Linked DNA regions of Callithrix jacchus. The protein of the gene in region 2 purifies or fractionates together with the protein of the main gene of each other region. This does not show direct contact. Links are inferred from orthologs where the notes say so. Each region holds a gene or a part of one and is shown on either strand. Other genes may lie near its edges.

Region 1 (5,172 bases), on a different chromosome or scaffold from region 2:
AGACTACTGTGACACCTTTAACTGGGTGTCTTTCAAACTGGGAGAGGATTAGCTTAATAGCTGAACACTGACTTTGGGTCAATGAACTTGGAATTATTTGCTCTGCTTCAGCTTACTGAAAATCTTTCAAAGGATAATAAATATTTTTATTTTAAAACCACTAATTTTAAGGGGAAACCTATTTTTAACCAAACACATTTAAAAAACACATATATTTTGTTGTTTCAGGCTTACCCAGAATAGTCCTAATCCTTTCAGCTGCAGAAGGCCCCCTATAATTCAGTCCCCCCTATAATTCAAAACCTCCCCCATTTTGAATGAATCCAAAACTATGAATGGTAGATCCTATGAAGTCCTAGGTATACTTTAGGTGATGAACAACTGAAGGCAGCAGCAGTTCCATGTTCAAGAGCATGACACACACATATAAAGCATATTTATAGTGCCACTTTTCCAGCTCAGGAAAACACACACTATTAGACATCCTCAATTTCCTTGCCTATAAACCATGCCTCTAATTCTTTGGAACAGGGAGTTACAATCACAGGTGGCTTTGAAACGGGTGAAATCTCCATCATCATTTCCTAACTGTTCTTTAAAAGCTTGTAATTTTCTTTTAAGTTTCAGCTTTAGGGGCTCACACTGACTCTCAGACTTCATAAACTTCCTTCCTGGATATATAACATGCTAATTCATGCGAACCGCTCAAAATTGTTTTAAAATCACATCTATGGATACCTTTGCAAGACCTCACGCCTGTACTCCCCACAATAACTAGTAAAACCTCTGAAACAATCTACAACTTGCACTTGAGCAGACAAGAGAAAGGAAGTGATGGCTTTAAAGGGTCGCAGCTTTCCTGGGCTCCAAAGAGGCGCCCTCGTTCACTCCTGAGAGGCTCAAGAAGTTACCAGAAGCTCCCGCCAGAAGTGCGGGGCGGGGGGTGCGGACGTAGGTAAAGCAGAGAAGATAGGTGGACCGCCCTGGGAAGAACTGGGGTGCCGAAGCCTACAGGCGGGATGGAGTGGTAGGAGGTGAGGCAAAATTAAGCAGATACAGGAAGGAGCCAGTGGAGCGAAGAAAACAGGGCAGGCGTGAAGTAGAGCCCTAGAGGAATCGACGAATTCGGGACTCTGAGGGTTTCCGAGGGTCCAGTTCTCTCACCAGAAAGCCGCGTTCAGCCCCAGGCACCACAGAGCGCTCCTGGCTGGTCGCTCCCACACCAGGGCTGCCTGCACTCGACTCAGCAGAGGCTCGTAAGGCCCCAGCACCTCCACCAGGGCCCGCTGCGCCGCCTCAACCTGCTGGTCCCGCTTCCAGGAGCCTGACACATCTCGGCGGCCCCTGAAAGTCGACCCCGAAGCCGGGCCTGGGGTAGTAGCCACCCCCTCAGCCTCCGCCATCTCCCCCTGGCAGCCACAACATCCGGGTCTGTGGCCCGACAGTCACAATAACAGCAACTGCGCAGATGCGCGATTGGACTAGGGAGGTCTCTTCGCACCACAAAGCGCTTCCGCGCAGGCCCAAGTACGCGTCCACCCAGAGAGGAGGACGCTGCGTCAAAGTACAACGCCCGCGCGGAGGCGCCTTGCCCGAAGATGCGCACGCGCAATATGGATGAATGAAGGCCAATGCTTAAGGACGTGCCATTCACTGCCAGAACTCGGTTCTCATTGGAGCGGAGGAAGTCTGTGGGTGGAGCTGGTTGTTTGGCGCCTGCGTCTTGCGGCGAGCGGGCTGGCGTGCGGCGGTAGCTGCTGCAACGCCCGTGCCTGAGGAGCGATGCCGAGGGAAATCATCACCCTACAGTTGGGCCAGTGCGGCAATCAGAGTGAGCGAAACTCCGGCCCTTCAGCTAGCCCGGTTCCTTAGGGTTAATGGGATCTCGCTGTGGGATCCTGGACTCCATCTGTCCTTGCCAGAATTGTAGTTCTCTGAAAGGCGAGACATCCCTGATCCAATGTCCACTTGCCTTAACCCCGAGGGGCCCTCCCCTGCCCAGTCCCTGGCGTACAGTCCTTTCCTCAGACACGGGAGAGTCCTGCGGCTTGACTTCTTATCCCAGGACGCAGGCGCCTAGTCCCCCAGCTCGTGATTGGAACCTGCCCGGACCTAGATATCTTCTTTCTCCCCCACCCACCCCTTTCCCCCAGTTGGGTTCGAGTTCTGGAAACAGCTGTGCGCCGAGCATGGTATCAGCCCTGAGGGCATCGTGGAGGAGTTCGCCACCGAGGGCACTGACCGCAAGGACGTCTTTTTCTACCAGGTGCCCCCAGCAACTTGGCCAGGGGCGGCAGTGGCCCAAAGGGCCGGAAGGGAAGGGAGTGGCCTGGTACTGGAAGGGGAGCCCCACTGGGCAAAGGGGCCAGGCGGCTGGCTTGAGGAGGGAGGGCCCAGGGAGCCAGAGTTGGGAGGACTTAGGACTTGGGCCGCCCTGGCTGATTGGTCTTCCTCCTGGACTCTCCTTGACAGGCAGATGATGAGCACTACATCCCCCGGGCCGTGCTGCTGGACCTGGAGCCCCGGGTGATCCACTCCATCCTCAACTCCCCCTACGCCAAGCTCTACAACCCAGAGAACATCTACCTGTCGGAGCATGGAGGAGGAGCTGGCAACAACTGGGCCAGTGGATTCTCCCAGGTTGTTTCCTGTTCCCTGGCAGGGCCCACAACTCCCTGTGTAGGGACAAGCCCTATGATGTCTCCAAGAGAAAGGAACCAGATCAGGGATATATGAATGCTGGAGGGAGAGACCTGGCTGCAGGAAGCGGACTATGTAATATTGTTAAGTGTCTGTACTAGCTAATGCAGTGTGCCAGGCCATTCTAAGTACTTTACATATATTAATTTTTTAAAATCTTCCAACAACCCTAGAAGTAAGTACTACAGGTCCACAGTCCCTTATCTGCTTTTCCAGGATCCAAAAAGCCATGAAACCAAAGGACATTTCCTAACTAGTTTAGCAGGAAAAACAAATCTCAATGAAGACAGGCTGTTTTATAGTTTCTATCCAACTTATTATCTTCACTGATGATTTTTATTATAGAAATACTAATATGTTTGATTAATGTACTTCTGACTCCCACTGGAATTTTATTTAACCTATATTATATATACCATAATACCTTTCTAAAATCTGAAATATTTTGAATTCCAAAACATAACTGCCTCAACACTGTTAGATAAGGGTATATGGATCTGTATTATTACCTTCATTGTACAGATGAGGAAACTGAGGCATAGAGCAATTAAATAGGCTGCTCAGAGCTACACAGAAGGAGAGTCGATGGCCCAGGTATGGTGGCTCATGCCTGTAATCCCAGCACTTTGGGAGGCTGAGGCTGGTGGATCACCTGAGGTCAGGAGTTGAAGACCAGCCAGGCCAACATGATGAAACCCCATCTCTACTAAAAATACAAAAATTAGCTGGGCATGGTGACAAGTGCCTGTAATGCCAGCTACTCGGGAGGCTGAGGCAGGAGAATTGCTTGAACCCAGGAGACAGAGGTTGCTATGAGCTGAGATCACACCATTGCACTCCAGCCTGGGTGACAGAATGAGACTCCATCTCCAAAAAAAAAAAAAAAAAAATAGAGCTAACGTATGAACACAGGTAATCCGGGTTGTAGAGTGCTTTCTTGTAACCACTGCACCATACTGCCTCTCAGTGTAGATAAAAAGCAGGCAGCTATGCTCCATAAAAGGACTTCTGGTGCTATAAGGTAAGTCGAGGGTTGCTTTCCTGAAGTCAGAGTCCTTCCATGGTTCTGTCCCACTCTGACCCTCCCTATGTCTGTACAGGGAGAGAAGATCCACGAGGACATTTTTGACATCATAGACCGGGAAGCGGATGGTAGTGACAGTCTAGAGGTAAGTGTCCCAGGAATGCTGGTAGGAACTGACATAGGCAAGGCTTGGCAACACCCTCTAGAAGCGACCTATTAAGAACAAGACGCACTCATGTACCCTTTGCACTGGACAGAAGCTACCAGGCCTTGCTGGAAACAAGGCAGTCACCTAAGCTGTATGAGTGAGAGTACTGGAGGGAAAGGAAGGGCTCGGGAAAATGGGAGTCCTGAAAAATTGTGAGATGGGTCTAGTTTGAAATCCTGCCACTAGATTCCTGGACACTGACTGCCCCTTTCCCATGCAGGGCTTTGTGTTGTGTCACTCCATTGCTGGGGGGACAGGCTCTGGCCTGGGCTCCTACCTCTTAGAACGGCTGAATGACAGGTAAGTTTGTGTTTGGGGATTAGGAAGGGTCACCAACTTGGCTTCCTAAATGACTAGGGGACCCAGTAGGTATAACTCCCTGTTTGCTGGGGCAGGAAAGAGTTCTTCTATTCCCTCCTATAGAGAGGAAAAAGAAGTTACAGTGACTGAGATCCCCATCACACTCCCAGTAGTGGGAACTGGAGCCTAGAATCTGAGCCCTGGATCAAAGTCCAGGGAGTGTGGAGTTGGAAGCCCAGATTCTAAGATGTCTCTGCCCTTCCCCCTGTAGGGTTACAGACTTCCAAAAGTCAAGTCTCCCTTTACTGATCTGACCCCACCCCAGTTTCGACATCAAAATTTAGCTGCTTCTGGACAGTTGTTAGGGAGCACCATGTTCACCACACCTTCAATCTGTTGCCCTGATCCTTTCCCCAACCCCCACCAGGTATCCTAAGAAGCTGGTGCAGACATACTCAGTGTTTCCCAACCAGGACGAGATGAGCGACGTGGTGGTCCAGCCTTATAATTCACTCCTCACACTCAAGAGGCTAACGCAGAACGCAGACTGTGTGGTGAGTCCTGGATTCTGCCTCTCAACTCTTAACACCCCACACCCCTTCAGGTCTATTAAATCATTTTCATGTATTTTTAAAAATCCGTTTTAGCCAGGTGCAGTGGCTCACACCTATAACCCCAGAACTTTGGGAGGCCAAGGTTGTTGGATCGCTTGAATCTTGGAGTTCAAGACCAGTCTGGGCAACATGGTGAAATCCCTATCTACTAAAAATACAAAAATTAGTCAGGCTTGGTAGTATGTGCCTTAGCTACTTGGGGGGCTGAGGCAGAAGGATCACTTAAGCCTCAGAAGCAGAGGTTGCAGTGAGCTGAGATCGTGCCACTGACTGCACTCCAGCCTGGTGACAAAGTGAGACCCTGTCTCAAAAAAAAAAAAAAACTG
Region 2 (4,384 bases):
GCACCCGCCACCATGCCCAGCTAATTTTTGTATTTGTAGTAGAGATGGGGTTTCACCAGGTTGGCCAGGCTGGTCTCGAACTCCTGACCTCAGGTGATCCACCTGCCTCAGCCTCCCAAAGTCCTGGGATTACAGGCGTGAGCCACCACACCTGGCCAAAACCTGTCACTCTCAGACATCAGAGAAATCCTAAACCCCATGTGAATAGTGTGATTGGCCGTAATTTATATGGCTTATATAAAATGTCCTTATGAATGCTTATAATTACATAAAATTTATTCTTTCATTTTTATAGTCTGTTCGGCATTTGAAGTACTCCTTGTTTAAGAAATCACTACTGGGCAGTGTTTCAGATAATGGAATAGTAACTCTCTGGGATGTAAATAGTCAGAGTCCATACCATAACTTTGACAGTGCACACAAAGCTCCAGCTTCAGGCATCTGTTTTTCTCCTGTCAATGAATTGCTCTTTGTAACCATAGGCTTGGATAAAAGAATCATCCTCTATGACACTTCAAGTAAGAAGTAAGTGTGACATGCTTATTTTTTAATTTAGTAACAAATAACTATTATTCCATTAACAGGCATATTTGTGATTTGTATAGACCACTGATTAATGTTGAGGGGTTCTAAAGTTTGTACAGTTGATGAATCTAGTAAAATAGAATTTTCTTCTTGTGCAGAAAAAAAATAGATGGGGTGCAGGTAGTATTTAGAGCTCTGAAACATGAACAATGGCGCAATCTCGGCTCACCACAACCTCCGCCTCCCGGGTTCAAGCGATTCTCTTGCCTTGGCCTCCCAAGGAGCTGTGATTACAGGTGCCCACTACCACACCCTGCTAATTTTTTGTATTTTTAGTAGAGGTGGGGTTTCGCCATGTTGGCCAGACTGGTTTCGAACTCCTGACCTCAGGCGATGCACCTGCCTTGGTCTCCCAAAGTGCTGGGATTACGGGCAGGAGCCACCGTGCTGGCCTTGATTTCACATTTCAATTTTAGCATCTTTTTCAAAATATGACATGTATATGTTTTTAACACAAATGATTAATTTGCTTTAAAATTGATTATCTAGAGGAAGGTTTAGAAATGATTGCCATTTTGGGCTTTGTAATTCTTTGTTGTGAGAGACTGTCCTGGATATTGTAGGATACTCAGCATCCCTGGCCTCTGCTCACTAAACACCAATAACCTAAATGGTGTCCAGACATTGCCAGATGTCTTCTGGTTGCTTCCACTTGAGAAATACTGCTAGGTATGCATAATCTTCTAAGCATTTGGGCCCATTGTACCCTTCTCATGTTAAAGGTATGCTCAGTTAGCTAAAACAAAACAAAACAAAAGAACTGCAAGAGTGCGAGAGTTGTATTCAAGATGCTTAGCACTGCAGATCATGTGGAGTATGAATGTTACTACAAGGGAAGGGCTTACTGTCAGCCCTGTTATGATGCTAGAATTTTTGCTGTTACTTATTTGCTGTCTTCTTTTATGGAACAATTTACTGAGAGCCTGGTAAGCCATTCTTCTCTTATACTAGACAGACCAGTAAAGAGCTCAGCTTGAGCAGATCAGCATCCATATTTCTTTATTAGCTGCCTAAGGATCAAGCTTGTGAATTATATTCCTCCTAGCTTTTTGGTCAAGACTGCACAACTAAGAATAGAGTAACAGCTGCTCCCCTGTGAAAGGTCATAATCCTCCTGAGGCCTAGGCAGGTCAATAAATGGAAAGGGAATACTTAGGGCCTCCTCAGTCCTGAGGCTAGAGCCTCTGTTTGTGGTGTAACAGATGGTAGTTCTGCTACATTCACTGCCAGAGTAATAAAGAAATAGGTGCTGTTTCTATAAGATGTGGAATATACCTAGTGAATAGAAAAGATGGAATTTTTGGCAGTTCTCTACATGCCATTTTATTAGAAATTTCTCTAAGTCAAATTCTAAAATTATGCTTTAAACAAATATTTGGGATATATGTGCTCTTTGCTAGTTTGAAGTATTAATAACTCTGGTTTTGGTTTATAGTTATTATATAAGCTTATATACCTATACACACTAACATAGCTACACATAGTTTGTTCTCCTTTCCAAAGGGTGGTGAAAACTTTAGTGGCTGACACTCCTCTAACTGCGGTGGATTTCATGCCTGATGGAGCCGCTTTGGCTATTGGATCTTCCCGGGGGAAAATATATCAATATGATTTAAGAATGTTGAAATCACCAGTTAAAACCATCAGTGCTCACAAGACATCTGTGCAATGTATAGCATTTCAGTACTCCACTGCTCTTACTAAGGTAAGACATTTTCTTATTTTTGATTTTATTAAATAAATCTAACTCAGAATATGGAAATTATGTTATCAATTAAATACAGTATAGTTTTGTTTCATAATTACATAAAAATGACTTTACATGTAGTACATAATAATTTTAGTACAAAGCCATTTGATAATTAGTTTTAAAACTTCGTACTTAGTTCTCATATCTCTCTTTCTCTAAAAGTCTTTTAAAAGATGTTTTCGTTTAGAGCAAAACTGAGATCCATCAGCAAGCTTAAGATTTGCAAGGAAAAAATATATTTTTTAATCTAACAGAGAATTTATAAAATATTAATGTATGGTATGAAACATTAGTAACCTGAGCTTTTAAATATTCCATTACATTTCAGTCAAGTTTAAATAAAGGCTGTTCAAATAAGCCCACAGCAGTGAACAAACGAAGTGTTAATGTGAATGCTGCTAGTGGAGGAGTTCAGAATTCCGGAATTGTCAGAGAAGCACCTGCCATATCCGTTGCCACGGTTCTACCACAACCTGTGACATCAGTTGTGGGGAAAGGAACAGTTGCTATTCAAGAAAAAGCAGGTAAATGTTGCTTAAATATTGTTGGAAGGTTTTTTTTTTTTTTTGGTCTACATATGATTAGCACATTTTTCAAGAACCTAGAATCCAAATTCAGGTGAGTATTTAGGTAAAATTAGTAGAAGTGAAAATCACTAAGAAGTGAAATAGTAACTTTAGCTATTAATTTCAAAAATATTAAAAGGCCCTACTGTTTAGCTAAACTTCTGTTGTGAGAAATATTATCTTAAAAATGGAAGGAGGCTAACTGAGAAATTATTCTTCCCTAATACTACTGCAGACTGAATGGCTTTTCCATTGTGTCTTCAGATTAACCAGTAGAGAATATGAAACTTTGATGCTGTCAGTGATTTGATCTCCTTGTTAAAAAAAAAGAAGAGCTATTATAATGGCTCTTTTTATTTCACATTTTAGAATGAAAAGTAAGTCAAGTGATGAATATTTTAAAGTGCTAAATAGTGCCTGGCACATATTAAGCAGTATATTAGTAATTTGTTAAAAATAAATGAGAATGTTGCAATTTTTAATGATTTCTTCTCTGATGTTATTGATGAAACTGTTCTGAAATAGGATTCATTTAGACTTTATTGAGGTGCCATAAGCTTTCCCATACTTATTGTAGAAAGTATTCCTTGTTCACAATAAAGAAAATATTCTATAAATTCCTGAAAACTTTTTATTTTAAGAAGTTATGCTATACTGTCAACTTGCAACGAATACTTTAAAAATCTACATGGTATACTAGTATGTTTCCAAAATATTGTGCTCATTAGAAATACATCTATCTATGTTTTTCAAATTTTTCAGGATAAATACTTGGACAAAAATATTGGTGTTTTTTTAGTATGATTTTACTATTTCCAAGTAGAAGCAAAACTTTAATTTGTTGATCTTGATAGTGTGAAATAGTATTTTAAAGTAAGTATGTTCACTATAAATTTCCTTTGAATATTTATATCATCCTTATGTAAGAGTCATTAAATATTAGAAAAATAATTAGATTCTTATTTAGGAACTCCTGGAGACAAAGACAATTGATATCTACTTAAAGAAGAAATTATTGTTGAAATATAACTTTGAGTAACATCTGCCAACATGTTTAATTAACTATATTATGAAAATTGCCTTTATCTTACATAATGCCATCTTCATAATTTTCAAAAATTAATCAAAATATTCTCTCATTCACTGTAAACTCTTTGAAGTCTCACCATTATTCATTTAGTTTTATTATAAGGAGGCTCTTGTTTAACAAAAACAACATTAATTTGGAAATCAAAGACGGGTCTTGCAGGGTCACAGATTAATGTTAACTTTTGATAGATTCCCAATATTTCTAGCAAAGTGTATGAGTGCCCTGCCTCCACCAAGTTAACCATGCTTGTGTATTAATTGTATTTTGAAATGACTGTCATCTTACAGAAAAGTTTTGAGGATAGTACAGACAGCTCCAAGCATTACCCTTTAGATGTACTTTATACATTTTGCCACATTTGCTTCATCATTCTCTTTCACTTCCTCTTTCTCT

Evidence for each region. The genes of interacting proteins can lie anywhere in the genome.
Region 1: the proteins of NEDD1 (region 2) and tubulin gamma-1 chain purify together in Homo sapiens (affinity purification with mass spectrometry; 5 studies listed by BioGRID and IntAct, with this or other methods). This does not show direct contact. The link is inferred for Callithrix jacchus from reciprocal best matches to the Homo sapiens genes NEDD1 and TUBG1.

What each region holds. Positions count from the first base shown.
Region 1 is NC_133506.1:121,276,976-121,282,147, reverse strand, and holds the start of tubulin gamma-1 chain, read left to right. Parts: upstream 1-1,742; 5' UTR 1,743-1,782; coding exon 1,783-1,831; intron 1,832-2,153; coding exon 2,154-2,266; intron 2,267-2,472; coding exon 2,473-2,640; intron 2,641-3,800; coding exon 3,801-3,869; intron 3,870-4,152; coding exon 4,153-4,232; intron 4,233-4,659; coding exon 4,660-4,786; intron 4,787-5,172. Other genes in the region: RETREG3 (reticulophagy regulator 3), read right to left, coding at 1,165-1,403. UniProt on the Homo sapiens protein: Tubulin is the major constituent of microtubules, protein filaments consisting of alpha- and beta-tubulin heterodimers. Gamma-tubulin is a key component of the gamma-tubulin ring complex (gTuRC) which mediates microtubule nucleation.
Region 2 is NC_133510.1:100,011,089-100,015,472, forward strand, and holds part of NEDD1 (protein NEDD1), read left to right. Parts: intron 1-295; coding exon 296-525; intron 526-2,088; coding exon 2,089-2,290; intron 2,291-2,663; coding exon 2,664-2,859; intron 2,860-4,384. UniProt on the Homo sapiens protein: Required for mitosis progression. Promotes the nucleation of microtubules from the spindle.